Schizosaccharomyces pombe: one gene and its partner. The protein of the gene in region 1 interacts with the protein of each later gene in a pairwise test. Each region holds a gene or a part of one and is shown on either strand. Other genes may lie near its edges.

What was found.
Region 2: the proteins of SPOM_SPCC191.05C (region 1) and wat1 interact in a two-hybrid assay, tested with the Schizosaccharomyces pombe proteins (one large-scale study listed by BioGRID).

The regions. Positions count from the first base shown.
Region 1 is NC_003421.2:1,710,017-1,717,910, reverse strand, and holds SPOM_SPCC191.05C (nucleoside 2-deoxyribosyltransferase), read left to right. Parts: upstream 1-4,377; 5' UTR 4,378-4,956; coding exon 4,957-5,592; 3' UTR 5,593-5,956; downstream 5,957-7,894. Other genes in the region: ribosome biogenesis protein Lto1, read right to left, coding at 756-1,160; cyc1 (cytochrome c), read right to left, coding at 2,847-3,176; SPOM_SPCC191.06 (uncharacterized protein), read right to left, coding at 3,356-3,772; SPOM_SPCC191.04C (uncharacterized protein), read left to right, coding at 6,087-6,389; SPOM_SPCC191.03C (uncharacterized protein), read left to right, coding at 6,617-6,970; acs1 (acetyl-CoA ligase), read left to right, coding at 7,689-7,894.
Region 2 is NC_003423.3:1,659,296-1,666,816, forward strand, and holds wat1 (TORC1/2 complex WD repeat protein Wat1/Lst8), read left to right. Parts: upstream 1-3,645; 5' UTR 3,646-3,651; coding exon 3,652-4,596; 3' UTR 4,597-5,065; downstream 5,066-7,521. Other genes in the region: myosin-binding vezatin family protein Inp2, read left to right, coding at 1,568-1,598, 1,659-1,771, 1,826-3,094; vacuolar transporter chaperone (VTC) complex, GTPase regulator subunit Nrf1, read left to right, coding at 5,287-5,655; SPOM_SPBC21B10.15 (uncharacterized protein), read right to left, coding at 6,327-6,454, 6,568-6,622. UniProt on the Schizosaccharomyces pombe protein: component of both TORC1 and TORC2, which regulate multiple cellular processes to control cell growth in response to environmental signals. Nutrient limitation and environmental stress signals cause inactivation of TORC1.

The sequences.
Region 1 (7,894 bases):
AATTTTTTATTTATTGCTATCCTGGTATCTATATAGTCGATGAATATTTATTATTTTTATTTTTTAAATCATTAATTGTATGGTAAACTGGGGAATTGTAATGATGTTTAACTTGTTACGATGTCTTTATTTTGTGTCTATAAACTTTTGTTCTAATGTACAACAAACTTATTAAACTGGACAAGCAAGTAATTATGCCGGGGAAATGTCTATACATAGGATTATCATATACACAGCAGCAGCTAATGTGCTAATTCATGAACGCATATGGCAATCATAAAGCGGATGTTTAATATTTGATCCTTTTCTTTTATTTTCTACGAACATTAATGAAATCATCAAATTGCCATAAGAACAAAGCAATATTATGGGGATGCCATCCAGTCAAACACACCTACTAGAGTTAAAAGAGACAGATGCTAGTACTCATTAACTGGAAAAACTTGGCTGACAAGAAAAAAGATCTTGCGGTTTTAATTTCCATCTTAATGTACAAAATGTTTTATTTAGCTTCCAAAACGTTTCTAACCATAACGGATGAAGAAATTGATTCCATTCAGAATGAATTAGCCAAAAAAAAAAACGACTATTCACTCACTACATGCAGCTTTCTTTCGAAGGGAGATATTGTCAAGAAAAAGAACAAATGCCAGGATATCAGATATAATCTGCTAAAATATAACATAATCAATCATGTAAAGTGAATGTTTTCAGGAATATTAAATACCTTCCATAGTATATTTGCTCTGAAGACATTACTCAAAGCCATCATTAGCATCAATTTTTTCAGCGGGAAGAATCTTAGTTCCTAAAAGACTCGATACCACTTTGGCTTTGGCTGTAATTTTGTTCCAGTAAGAGTCAAACCCAGCATCGGTCTCCTCCAGTTCATTGTTGGTGGGCAACGACTCTAATAACGATTTCAACTGTTCTAAATGCCTATGTGCCTTTTTAATTTTAGGATGTTGTGAATTTTCTTCTTTCAACCAAAAACACACGCGTCCATAAATTTCACCCGCCAGTAAATATTTGTTATAAGCATGCTCGAGTCCAAACAAAAATGCTTCCTCATACCCTTGCTCAATTCCCTTTAAAATTCCTTCATCATAACCACGTTTGTACTCATTTTCTTCCAATTTGGTCACTTCCTCCCAGTCCATGCGGCAGTGTCGTTTTGTAATAATTTTTGCCAAAAACTGAGAATTTGCAACTTACAGAGGATTAGCGGCTAACCTTATTAGATACAGCACAACACAGTGATATATAGTTCCTGCAGTATAATGTCAGCAATACTACACTACGCTATAATACACTACGTTGAGTATCACTATATGTCACATGTTCTAATTATATATCGTACCATGTATGATACGATATGGAGATTGATCTTAATGATAATCTATTAAGATCAATATTATCTGAATACTATAAATAGAGCTACTGCTGAACCTCGTTCCTCAGTTCAGTTATGAGCTATATTAGTGATAGGTAACATTATAACCCAGTTAATACAATACCTATACTCAGTTGCTACTTATACAACCTGTGTATTGTAATATAATAGATCACAAGGAAAACTCACCGCAGTTCTACGTATCCTTAAATCAGATACCAAACTGCGTAGCTTACATATAAAAACGAATAACAAAGAAGAATTATATCGCCCTAAATGAATTTATGGTATTCGTTTGATATCCGATATTTCTTTAATTTCAAAATCGCAGCATTGACATCTCTAGTGTAAATCTCATTTACTTTGCCTATAGCAGTCGATAATTCATATAGAACATACTTTTTTTCTTTTTTTAAATCTAAGTCTAATATTTTGTTTCAAGTACAGGAGCTAGTAAAGTATATCACATAAGTTTCAATTGGCAAGTGTTTACATTGCGAATAACTGCAGTGTTTCCTTGCTACTTTTAAACGCACAGTCTAGTTACATACAAAGATTAATTAATTTTCAAATATACACAACACTTGACTGTCCTCAATTCTTTACACTAAAACCTTATGCATGCGCGTTGAATATTGAACTACCGGAGAGCAATCTCAGAGGGCTCTGCAGCCGTCAATTGCAATATACTGAAACTAATTAAAAAAAAAAGAAAAGGGTGAAAGGTATGAAAACTTGAATATCATAAAAGATCCATAGTTGTAAAAACAACATAGAATTAGCTAAAAAAGAGAGCTATGATTAATTTTGGTTTGTGTGTACGATCTGGATGGGAATTGATCGACCACAAAAGAGAGGGGAGTATGGTTGTGAATGGGAATACGATAGAGTAGAGAAAGGTGAAAAACAAACAAACCCAAACTCACTGAAAACCAATCAGCTCAAAAAACCTTAAGTAAAGAAAAGCAAAGCATCAGAAAGCATAGGCATCAATGAAAATCAATTCGAAACTGAATCTTGCTCAAATGAATTGACCAAGATACACCAAAATATGCAGGAAGCTAAAAATTCAAAAAGCAGAGGGGAGTTGATGGGGAAGAACCCGGTGGGCCCAGGAAATAAGCTTTTGGGAACTCCGAATAAAAAAACTGGTTCACGGTATAGGAATTGCGGAATTTTTTTTTTTTTTGAAAAAGGTTGTCTAATAGAAAAAGAGAATAGAAAAGGAATAAATGAAAAGAAGGAGACCAATTCCAAAGTAAGAATTTATATCAAACAATTCATGTTCCTATGCTGCTCGTTTCCATGTTGTTTTATTTTTTTTTGGTAAACGCAATCAATCAATCAGTAACGTGACAGACACAAAAGCAAATTGGGAATTACGAATTCATAAAGCATATCCCAACGGCATTACGCCAACACTTGCAACTGTCGTTGACGGCCATCACCCCATTTACTCAGAGGTGGCCTTCTTCAAATACGTAATGACGTTGTTACGATCAGCCGGTTTCTTGAAGCCAGCAAAGGCCATCTTAGTACCGGGGATATACTTCTTGGGGTTTTCGAGGTAGGCGAAAAGAGTTTCTTCATCCCAAGTAATACCCTTATCGCGATTGGCTTCGGTGTAAGAGAAACCCTCAGCTTGACCGGTCTTACGGCCAAATACACCGTGCAAATTGGGACCGACCTTGTTGGCGCCGCCTTTTTCAACGGTATGACATTGAGCGCAACGAGTCTTGAACAGGGAAGCACCCTTCTTTTCGTCTCCAGGAGCGTAAGGCATTTTGAATTAATAAATTGCTAAGGAAAGGAAATAGGCTTAAGAGTTTAGTATTTGTAGAGAAGAAGATTTAAAAACCACAAATTCACAGCGAAGTTAGTGAGAAGATGTACGTTGAGAGTAAGTTGGGATGCGGTGGAAGTCGACCTTTAAATTTATTTTTTCGCCCTTATTTCATTGGTTCATGAGCTCTCCGCGGAATGACATGGCGAGCCAATCCAATGTTTACCTTTTTTGCGTGCGATAACCTTCGTTAAAGTAAAAACAGGATTTGGTGATGACGAGCAGACCGTATTAAACATAATTAAGGTTGTATACCGTGTCTGAAAATAAGGAAAATAGATATCGTTAGAGTGCAGTAATCGTTGGAAAACTGGAATTGGCTGATATGCAATGATTTCCGTAGGCATGCAATGCATCTTCCAAGCATGTGTGGATTGGTCTTTGGGATATGAATGGATTCTTAGAGACGGAAATCGCCAGTCAAGATGCATTGATGGGGATGCATAGCGTAGTACGAAAAATTGGGTGAAATATTGATGCAATAGGATAGATGAAAAATCGTAGACAGAGCAAGAGAGAATGAATAGATGAGACATGGGAATACACCATTGGATATTACACTCTAGTAAATACCTTTTGGTGTGTACACTTTGTTCTGCGCATATTTTTTGGTAGTTGAAAAATTCAAAGAAGCATTTGATCGCACTTTACTTAATCCTGCGAATACAAGGTTAGTGTGACATTTTAAAGAAAACAATTAAATAGGATTATGGAAATAGTAAACAGGAACTTACCTGAACATCGTTTTGTTTAGTCTATGTGTTGTCATTATTAAGCGACGATTTCTTAAATCATATAGTAATAGACAGACACTGTGTGACAATGAAACAAAGTAGAAAATAATTGGTAAGATCAAAGTATGAGAATCCCATTTATCTAGTAAATATAGTTCATTCATATGTTTCGTCTTTTATACAACCACAACAAAATGAATGGGATCTAGAAATTTTTTTCTGCAAAATGTGATTTTCTCCAAAAAGATTTTAATCCATCACAAAAGACTTTCCCATTGAAAAACAAATTTCAGATAAATCCAATAGAATCGAACAAAAAAAGTAAAAATAAATAAAACGAAACGCTTTCCCAGCCTAGTGCTTCAAGCCGCTGCTCTAAACCTGATACACACACACACACACTCACTACCAACCAACTAGCATTTCCTACATTACCTGATTTTTTCGATTTCTTTTTTCTTTCGGTAAATTGGGAAATTCGTGGTAGTTTAGATGTTTCCCTAAATACAGATATAAAAAAGATTGTCTGAGCTTATTGTTACCAGATAGGAGCAAAGGCTGATGGAATGGATAGATAGGGAAGGAAGGTGTATAAAAATATGACAGACCGATGAAAAATGCCTTATCTTGATAAACTAGACAACGAGAATGTTTGAGTATAAGAATAGTAGAGATGAAATCATTTTAAAACAAACACCCTTTGTTAGATAACATTCGTAGGAAAATTGCAATCTTTTTCCTTGTTTTTGGTATCAACATTGAAATTTAATACAATTTACTACCATATATTCGTATATTGAGAAGTAATATCTTTGTATTTCTTGATATTTTACACAAGGGTTACTTTTAAAATCTTGTCTTTGTGTTTACAAGCGTTGATTTCTAGAAACGTACAAAACGACGCTTAGGATATTTTTCGAATAGTCATACTTTTTTTTGTTTTTTTTTTTTTTTTTTCGTATACTCGTTCTACGAATATTGGCAAAATGACTGGTACGGCAAAGGTCAGTATCCCTAAAGCGCAACCTCACAAGGTGCCCTGTGTGTACTTGGCAGGAGACCTCGTGTTTAGGCCTAATGCCATTGAGCTGTTTGATGAACTCAAGGAAATCTGCAAGGACGCAGGGGTGCAAGGAGTTGCACCGTTTGATGGCCAAGAAGGTGTGGAGGAGATGGCTCCTGGAGCGGAAACGAGTTTGAAGATTGCGGAACTCGATCGGAAATTGATGGATCGTTGCGATGGAGGGATTTTCTGCCTTGATCCATTTCGACGTGCCCCAGACATGGATCCAGGCACGGCAGTGGAGCTTGGGTACATGGCCGCTCAAGGAAAACCGTTGGCCGGCTTCACGACCGATGGCCGTATGTATCCAGAAAAAGTCAGGTCGTACCGAAAACAGGCATGGGGCGACGCTTTGAAGCCTCGATTCACCAAAGGCGGTAGTGGTAGCATGGAAGATGCAGACGGCTTGATCGTACACTCTGAGGGATTCTTGCAAAACGTGATGACTGAGGGATTTATCAGAATGTCAGGAGGTTTTGTCGCCGTCGATTTTAGCATTCAAGAAGCCTTTCGAACTGCCATTAAGGATCTAGCTGCCAGATTGAACAGTCAGCATTAGCCGACCATGAGCAGTCAACACTAGCTGTCGGTCATGCGGTGGGAAGAAATGCTATATATGTCGAAATATTTATGTTGTAAAAGACCATGCTTGACTAAGAAATGTTGCGCGATTCTCATGCAAACAATAATTTATTCGCCGAAAACAAGCTTTGGCCGTTCTAACCACTTCTAATCGATAGGTGATAGAAAAGAAAACGACAGTAGTGAAAAGACGAGAAAAGTTAGAGAAATGAATGATAGGAGCTTTATTGAATCAATGTTTTTGCCAGGAATTGCGACGTCTACTAAATTATCACGCTTATTGAGCCAATGTCCTACAATACCATATACGCTATTAGATCCGTAGAGAATGAAAACACGAGTTCATTTAAAAAAAAAAAATTCAACCACACAAATAATCTATTCTTAACTATCATGTCTATTTTGTAAAGTTTGTACAAATACCCCATCTACGCTATATAGTTTTCATTATAAGCAACATATCATTTTCAAATGCATTCCGTTTGCAGCATATTCTTATCATGTTCTCATAGAGTAATCCAAGCCAAGCATCCTCCGTTTCCACTTTTCCATTCCTACTTTCATATTCCTGACTTCCTTTCTTTTGTGTTCCCGTTTGTCGCATCCCCTCCATTGGCTTTTGCCCGTCGGAAACTTGACCACGTGCCAAAAAAATTTGCGCGCTCAATTGGCCCTTTTCTTCTCATTGTATTTTTGTTTTTTAATCTTTTCCCGACATTTTTCTTCTTGCCATTCTTTCCCGACACAACCAAACGACCAAACTTGGCCGACTGACATCTCGTCTATTTGTGAACCCATTCAATTCTTGCTTTTCTATTAAGTGTACCCGATATTGGTATCAAATCCAGGGTAATCGACCTTTTCAAATTCAATTCTGTAATTTGTTTTACAAATAAAAATTTCTGTGTTGGTGTTTATTTACTTTTCCAATATCGCATGGTCACTTTTGCTAATGACTCGTTTGTCGGTGTATTGTAACTCACTTCGTTGGCTATCGTTTAATGCGTAGTAACAATTCCTCACTAGTCCATTGTTGTTGGGTGTCCCCACCATCACTCACACGTCTACCAGCCTTCCCAAGCCCACGCATCCTATCTCCTTGCTATTGCTACAATAAACGGATTCGTCCTTTTCGCGGCTTAACCTCATATCGTCAAGCTTCCTACTCCTTGGGTTTTCCATTAGGTCTACTTGTATTCTTGCATAGTTTGATAGTTGCTCGTTTTTTCGTAGCATCAAAAAGCAGATCTTGTATCGTGAGATCCCTTCTTTTTTGGATAAACTTGGATTCTGCGGATTCCCGGATTAGTGTTCTCTTTCAGTGCTTCTTTTGTATTGATATTTGGACCGTGTAGAACGAAAAAAAAGAAGAAAAAAACACCCCATTCGAAACTGCAAAGTTAACTCCTCGGACGTCGAACGTTAAGCGATTTCCTACTTACCGTCGAGTTAGTTGTCTGTTCAAAAACCTAACCACACAAACTTTCTGAAGGATTTTGGATTTTTGTCGAATCTTTCTTTTGTATTTTTCGTAAGTTGCTTATCGGTGGAATTCGTATTTGAACTCTATCGTCCTCTTAAAATCGAGCCTCTTAAATTCTCATTGCTTTGTCTCTGCTGCTTATGCTTGAACTGCGCTTTGGGATGGCCACGTGAGGTTCGTAAACACGAGATTTCCTTTCCCCCTCCACCTTATTTCTTTATCTTTTTTCCTTCCTTACTAATGTCTGCTAATGTTTAGATTATTACCTCGCATTTTAAAGACTAAATCACTTTTTATCAGTTGTAAACTGTGTTCTGTCTTTCGTTTCATAACTTTCGTTGAAATCATTTGGTCGTAGAGTACAAGGAAACGAACTTCTCGTCTCCTACTTTTATTTTTCTCGTTATTTTCTTTTTCTAGCGCTCTTTTCTTTCCCCTTATATTTACCTTTCATTCTCTTCTAAAGGTTCTTCATCGTTTTTAGTGATACCTTTGAAAGCTTATTTACGGATTGTAAGGTTTACCATACAGTTTTATTGTTTTTACAAGTTCTTATATTTCCTCAATTTTGATATTTACTTTTTTTTATGATGACGAAAAATCCTGTCGATCACACACTCATTATAGAACCTCCGGTTCGTCTTCATGGCGATCCCACCGTCCCTAAACCTAACATTGCTAGTTTGGATGAGTATAAACGTATGTATGAAGAGTCAATTAATGACCCATCCACTTTTTGGGGTAACATGGCTCGCGACATGATGACTTGGGACAAACAATTCAGCACTGTCGTCCA
Region 2 (7,521 bases), on another chromosome or scaffold:
TAATTCTTGCATTGTTATTTATTAAACAAATAACTCTTTATAATAATTTTTACCAGCCATTATCTGAAGCGGCATGCATAAGATTATAATTTGATCATAACATGACATTTCAATGCAAATCGTTAATATGTTTATATTGTGTAGACGACATTCATAAAGAGTGCAATGTGATTGTATTGCCAAAAAGGCAAGGCATGTTGATCCCTCGTGTCCAATAGTGCAATGGCCTTAGTGTATACATGTAACTAATAAATCGCTTTGCATAGTTTTATTAATTTGCCAAGGAAATCGTCAACAAGAAGATCACCATTTTCTTCGTTTTATTTTCTTTTCCCTGAGTTTTTTCACTTGAGTGCGGCTAAAGCACAAAAGGATTTCTTCATTCATTGGAAGGGGAAAGAAGTATTTGAACCTGCATCAATGATTTATTATGTAGATTAACGTTTATCTACTGTAAGTCAACTTTTTGTATTTAAATTATCATGAGACAAAACGAAGTACGAGTATTATCCATGATCTATTTTCATTCACTGCAAATGATTTAAAAGTATAGAGTTCACTGATGAATTGTAAAATTGTTGAAAAGTAAACTCACTAAATTGAAAAAGAATTTGTTAAAATTCGCTGAATAGGTTGAATACTTTAGTAAACTCTATATCTTGTCTCTGTTTCCAGTTTCTTTGCATGCCGTCGTAATATCTACACAGTGTTAAGTTTTTATTTCATTGAAGAGACAGATTATCATCGTAATTTAATGAGATTTCAATATTATTGATCAGCTAACTTTGTTAATTTAGCTATACTGGTGACTTTCATAACCTTTGTTTACTGAATTGCAAACATCTTCTACTAGCAGGTGGGAAAGCATGGTTCGCTAAGAATTTACTAATGGTTATCTTATTAGATCTTTATTTCATTGCCATTTAAATCGCAACCAAATCTTATCTCCATCTGTATATACAATATTACTGTATTGCTCTCATGTATCAAATCGTGTTCAAACTGCAAAAATCGCTTTCCGTTCATTTACCATTCTCAGGAAGAATTAGCAGTTCTACGAATCATATCCTTCCTTTCACCTCAAACTAATTTGATGCAACGAGTTATTCATTTTAACCTTGAAATAATTTTCTATCGAAGCTTCTCTTTATACTTTTCTAACACTATTTAGTTTATAAAAGTACTTTGTATATAGTCAAGGCGAATATTTCTGCAAAATAAACATATACTATCAAATCTTTTACCATCACCCTGCGCATCCTTAACAGTTTTACGGAATTCAAACATTTCCCTTATGAACATTAGCGGAAAAACAGCGTAATTTGAGCGGTATTATTTAGTTTTGAAGATTAACGGTTTACGCGTTTTATTTTCGTGAAGTGTGATTTTCATTTACCATTATCCTGAAGTGCAAACCCTCATTGATTTTAAGTATTTCTATATGATTTTAAACTACAATTAAGTTGCTGCTTAAAGCATATTGTTTGTCATTACATCTGTATAAAAAATTCCTGTCTATCAGGGTGTCGCAAGCAAAGCCTTTCCATGTTTGGCTGAACGGTTTGATATGAACGTAGATACTCAACTATCTCGCGATGGTAAGACAAAAGCTTTCCTGTTCTTTTCGACTTTCTTTCTTGTCTGACACAATACACTAGGGTTGTATTCATCTCTGAGGACTCGATACAAAGTGTATATTTCCATGCACGCTTTTGCTATATGGCATCGGTTTATCTCTTTTTTGGCAATTTATCTATGGCCTTGCATAATGGTTAGTCTGATTTTATAGTTTGAGTTATTGTAATATGCTAATGAACATTTTCAGGGGTCGGTTAATCTAAACTTACAAGATCGAGAAAACGAATATTTTTTTGACAGCATTCAGTACATTATTTATACATCTGAACTCCTCGTAGGAGATCACGAGCTACAGCGGTCACATCATGAAGAACAGCCTTCTTTGGTTTATCCTTCTTCATCGTTCAGTTCTACGAGCAAGTTTTGGAGATACTTCGCCTATCTGCTGAGCTTACAAATTGTAATAGATTTTGTTTTATACAAATTATCATCTGCAATGGCAAGTCTTCATTATCTAAAGTTTGTGAAGATAATAGCCTTATCTTATATTTGCTTCTCTTCGCTCATACGGATTTGTCATTGCTGGACATATTTTATTCGTATTATGGGATTATCCAGCTTAAATAAGTTTGTCAATCTATTGCATGATTTTGAAACTACATCTAATCGTGTTTACTCCCAAATTTGTGAATTGGAAGCAAATTCGGCAGCAAATCGCTCCCGGTTAATGGACTTCCTTCCTGCCAATGATCCTTTATTGTTTAATCTTACGGAACAAAATACTTTAAGTTACGAACTGTCTGGTTTGTATGAGAAGCTTTTACCTAGATACCAGCTGGTTCTGTCAAGAATATATCCGTATGCAGCTGCTTCCAACCTTAGAAACCTATTATCACTATATAGACTTCCAAATTGCTTTGGTAAATTAAATTCGTTTGACCTCCGAAAAGGTTCCTCAACAAGCTTAAAACGGAGTTCCATGTACCTAGCCCGTAAAGAAAACCAAGACTTTGATGACCAATCCACCCAAATTCTCAATCACATCAAAACTGCTTATTATGAATTAACTATAATCTCTAAGCAAGTTCTATGTTGCATACTATCGTTTCCGGTTGATTCATTTTTAGCTGAAAGGTCTTCATGGCTCATTGTTCACCGGGAGGTAGGTGACCTCTCTAATGCATTGTCTGTGTCGATGGTTCGTCTCGTTGACATCTTAAAGTTTTCAGTTGAATCGGTCAACCGTAATCAACATAACACTACTAGCAAACCTTTCCCCAGGATCATGTGCAAAGAAAATTTGCGCAGTCTTTTTAACGAGTTGCACTCTGTAATGATGGAAACTCATGAGTCTATCAGCTCATATATTCAAGAAGGAGACAATACAGCTATGCAGACATATGCTATGGATGAATATGATCAAGTTGGTTTACTGCTCAAAGATTTGCTCTCTGAATGGGACTTTAATAGAGCACTACTTCTCAACTTGCAACACATGCACCGAAAGCGTAAATAATTTTGGCTTTCAGAATTTTAAACCATATTTTGCTTTTATGATCTTTTTTATCCATTATTGTCCGTTTCTGTTATACGTCTTTCGGAACCTTGTTGGTTTTAATAGTTAGGATAGTTATTATAAACTATTTACAAATCGACATTTATCTAGGTTTAAATGTCGTTCAACTCAGCAATGATGTCTTTGTTGCTTAAAAATTTGCCTTAACCTTTCGTCCTGTATAATATTTTAGTTATACCAGTTTATCTTTACACTTATGCTTATGCTACTTATTGCAGGCGCAATTTTTTAAAAAATTAAATTAACATGAATTTACTATTATTCTATGAATTTTCCTGTTTTTATGGTCAAAACTGTTAAATTTTTTAAAGTTTTGATGGCTGTAGATTTAAAGTATAGATCGCCAATCGTGCGTTTACAAGTCATGCTACAAAAAATTTACTAAATATATAATATAAACATATTTAATTGATTTTAAAAATTTTCAGTCATTAATTCTCTCTGTATTCGAGTTTGTTTAATAACTACAGTATAACAGCGCTCCATTCTTTAACCACATGTCAGTACAGTATCCACCACAACATTCTGTTCTGCTCGTCAGCAGTGGATATGACCATACCATTAGATTTTGGGAAGCCCTAAGTGGAATATGCTCGAGAACAATACAACATGCGGACTCTCAGGTAAATCGTTTATGTATTTCACCTGATAAGAAGTTTCTAGCAGCCGCCGGAAATCCTCATGTAAGATTGTACGACATAAACACTAGTAGTCAAATGCCATTAATGACCTTTGAAGGGCACACCAATAATGTTACAGCCATCGCTTTTCATTGTGATGGTAAATGGCTTGCCACATCGAGCGAGGATGGAACAGTAAAGGTGTGGGATATGAGAGCCCCTTCAGTTCAGCGAAACTATGATCATAAATCTCCTGTTAATGACTTGTTAATTCATCCAAATCAAGGTGAACTGCTTTCATGCGACCAAAGTGGACGAGTTCGTGCATGGGATTTAGGAGAGAATTCTTGTACACACGAACTTATTCCGGAAGAAGATGTACCTATGAGCAGCATTACTGTTGGATCTGATGGTAGTATGCTTATTGCTGGGAACAACAAAGGAAACTGCTACGTTTGGCGAATGCTAAATCATCAGGGTGCTTCATTGCTTCAGCCCGTTGTCAAATTTCAAGCTCATCAGCGTTATATCACTCGCTGCGTCTTGTCTCCTGATGTCAAACACCTTGCTACATGTTCTGCCGATGCTACAGTGAATATATGGAGTACGGAGGATATGTCATTTATGCTTGAGAGACGACTTCAAGGGCATCAAAGATGGGTTTGGGATTGTGCGTTTTCTGCTGATTCTACCTACTTAGTAACCGCATCTTCTGATCATGTTGCAAGGCTTTGGGAGTTATCGAGTGGTGAAACAATCCGTCAGTATTCGGGTCATCACAAAGCTGCTGTTTGTGTTGCTCTTAATGACTACCAAATTTAAGTGTTTCAAAGCATTTTTCAAAATAAGTTTACGAGTTATGTTTTGTTGTATTTTTAGCTCAACTGATGTTGGAAAATTACTTCTATATATTCAAGTTTATTACACGCCTTTATCCTATTTTACCTTTGCTATATAGATTTTATTCACCAATCTTCTTAGGAAAACAAGAGTCTTGTCTTGTCAACATTCGTTTATATTAAGTGTGTCTGATTTCAAGACGATTTCTTAGTCACTTACAAATTTTTTATAAATTATATTCTTCCCTTGATACAGTATTTGCTAGTTTCATATCTCGGAGTTTTTATGATAAATAATAGTCTTAAGTGATGATAACTTTTGAAAATTTTCAATGCTTATTAGTGTAGTTTAACTTATTTTACAACTTTTATCTCTAAACATGATAGGATTAAGTAGGAAAAGTTACATATCCTCGTGTCCTTAAATGAAATGAAATGTATATCTTCATTAGCTTTCTGGTTAGCGAAGAAGCGAATTTGATAATGCAAAATTTGAAGAATTTAGTCTCGCTAAATCTGCTAATTAACTTACCGAGACTTACCGTAGTAAGATACGAAAAAAATTTCTAGGCCGTTCGACACAGCTGACCTTAACCACAACTCACAGCCAGCACATACTTAATCTCGCGAGGAGAAAAAACCTTCGATTTATAGCTCACTCTTTCCACTAACAATGTCTACTCAACCTCTTTTACAAACTACTCCTGGTAAAAGAATTGCTCTTCCTGTTCGTGTTGAACCTAAAGTTTTTTTCGCTAATGAACGTACTTTCCTTTCTTGGTTGAGCTTTGCAGTAGTTTTGGGTGGTTTGTCAGTTGGTTTACTTAACTTTGGTGATCGAATTGGTAAGATTAGTGCAGGACTTTTCACTATTGTTGCTATTGGTACCATGGGTTATGCTCTTGGTATTTACCACTGGAGAGCATCTGCTATTCGACGACGCGGAAGTGGTCCTTACGATGATCGATTGGGACCTACCATTCTCTGCTTTGTTTTGTTGGCAGCTATTATAACCAACTTTGTTCTTCGTATGTTATTTTGAAAGGATTAAGTCCATTTTTTGGAGATTTTTTCGCGATATTTCAGCCTTATCGTCTGAGCATAACTTCACAAATATGAAAATGAGGATTCCTTACTCTCCATTCCAAGTTTTTAAGCTTAGTGTTTGATAGGCTTAAGTTCTTTTAAACATATATTTTAGATTATCAATTTATTTAGTTTCCTCGTAACATGTAAAGTTTTTACATTATCTGACAATCTTTATTGAAGGCTGCAAAGATGAAAGGCCCTGGAAACGTTATGACACTGAATTGAAAGATTATTTTTTTAATGCCTGGAAAGTGATTTTTTTTTTCAGTAGGTCGTTACGGAACCCCCCTTATCATTTATCTGTTGTTTCCTTACATTTGTTTTGCTTCCTTGAGCGTCGCTTGTTAACGCAGGAGGAGAGAAATACTAGTTTATTATTTATAACTTATTCTACATATTGTTGGATTAATATGTCTCGCTTTGTTATATAATGGCTCCGGTTTAAGGCTTTATTTTATTTTATTTTATTTTAATTTTTAATTACTCAGCGTTTTTATTATATAGTGTTATTTTTGGGATTGCCGGAATTACTACATGGACTAGGAGGTTATTTTATTTAATATCTTTGCATCGCTGTCTGTGGACAGCTTTGACATTGGCGTCGAAATTATAGTAAATATTTCATTATTTGTTTTCTTTTGAAGATTTTGCATTTTCAAGCTGTTTCGCCTGTTCTTGCTTATACAATTTAAAGTACTCTCTTTTTTTATTATTTAAATCGTTTTTAAGCACTAGAAATGATATAGGGCCGACTGCGTGAGTTAGTGAAAAAAGCAATTATAGACAAAAATATATATATTAATTTATTCTCTTAAAGAACTTTGAAACCTGAATTACTTCAGTTTTATAGTATCAATAAACATACCAGTAATGAATATTCCAAAAAATGTGAGTAGTTGTCCTTTTAAGCTCATACCCATCGTGAAAAATTAAATTGTAGGATTCAAATACTGAAAGGTTATAATGCTTGCAATAAAATAGCTTTGAAAGGACGAAACCAAAACTTTCGACGTTTAATTGGGTTATTTGCTCACGAAGCCGGTTCAAGTGATATCTTCTTTTTGCAGCCCGATGTTAACTTCTGAAGTGTTAATAGTTAATGGTCACTAAGGTATCGTTATAATATGAAACAAAAACTGCAGTGTCTTGGAAAGAGAGTGGTTTAAAGGGGCTATAGAATTCTGATAGAACAAATTCAGAAGTTTAAACAAATATTGGTGTAAATGGGATTTTTAACTTATAAAATCTCGTAGTGTCCTTGGTTGTCTATTTTGACGTAAAATATGTGCCAGTTTTCAAGCCTTTTATTCTTAGTATACTAATCATTTGCAAATGAAAAGTGTTTTTTGTAAAGCATGTAAGCCGATAACCCTTGATTAAGGCCAATCTAAACTTTCCAAGCTACAAAGAATAAGTTTTTTTTGCGGTTGTAGGTTGCTTTTGAATCAATTAATGTCTAAAGTTTACTCAATTAAGAATTGCCTGTTCACTTTAACGGAATTTCCGTATTATGTATTGACCTTTGTCTTATTGTATTGTAGAATAAGTCATCCAGACATAGTACATGAATTGTAAAGCCATACATTGCTACATAAACTACAGCTTAATTCAAAAAATTGCATCTGTTATCGTAAAAAAAGCAAATAAAGCGTTTTGAATCAGTAAATTATCAACAGTACAATTGCTAATTTATCAATACATTCTGCGAAGAAAATAGAGTATGACCGCATTTGCCACCTGCAGCCTTTGGGTGGTTAGTGCTCTGCAAAGTAACTGAATCTATATGAAAAAAAAAGGTACGAACCTGAAAATATATTAT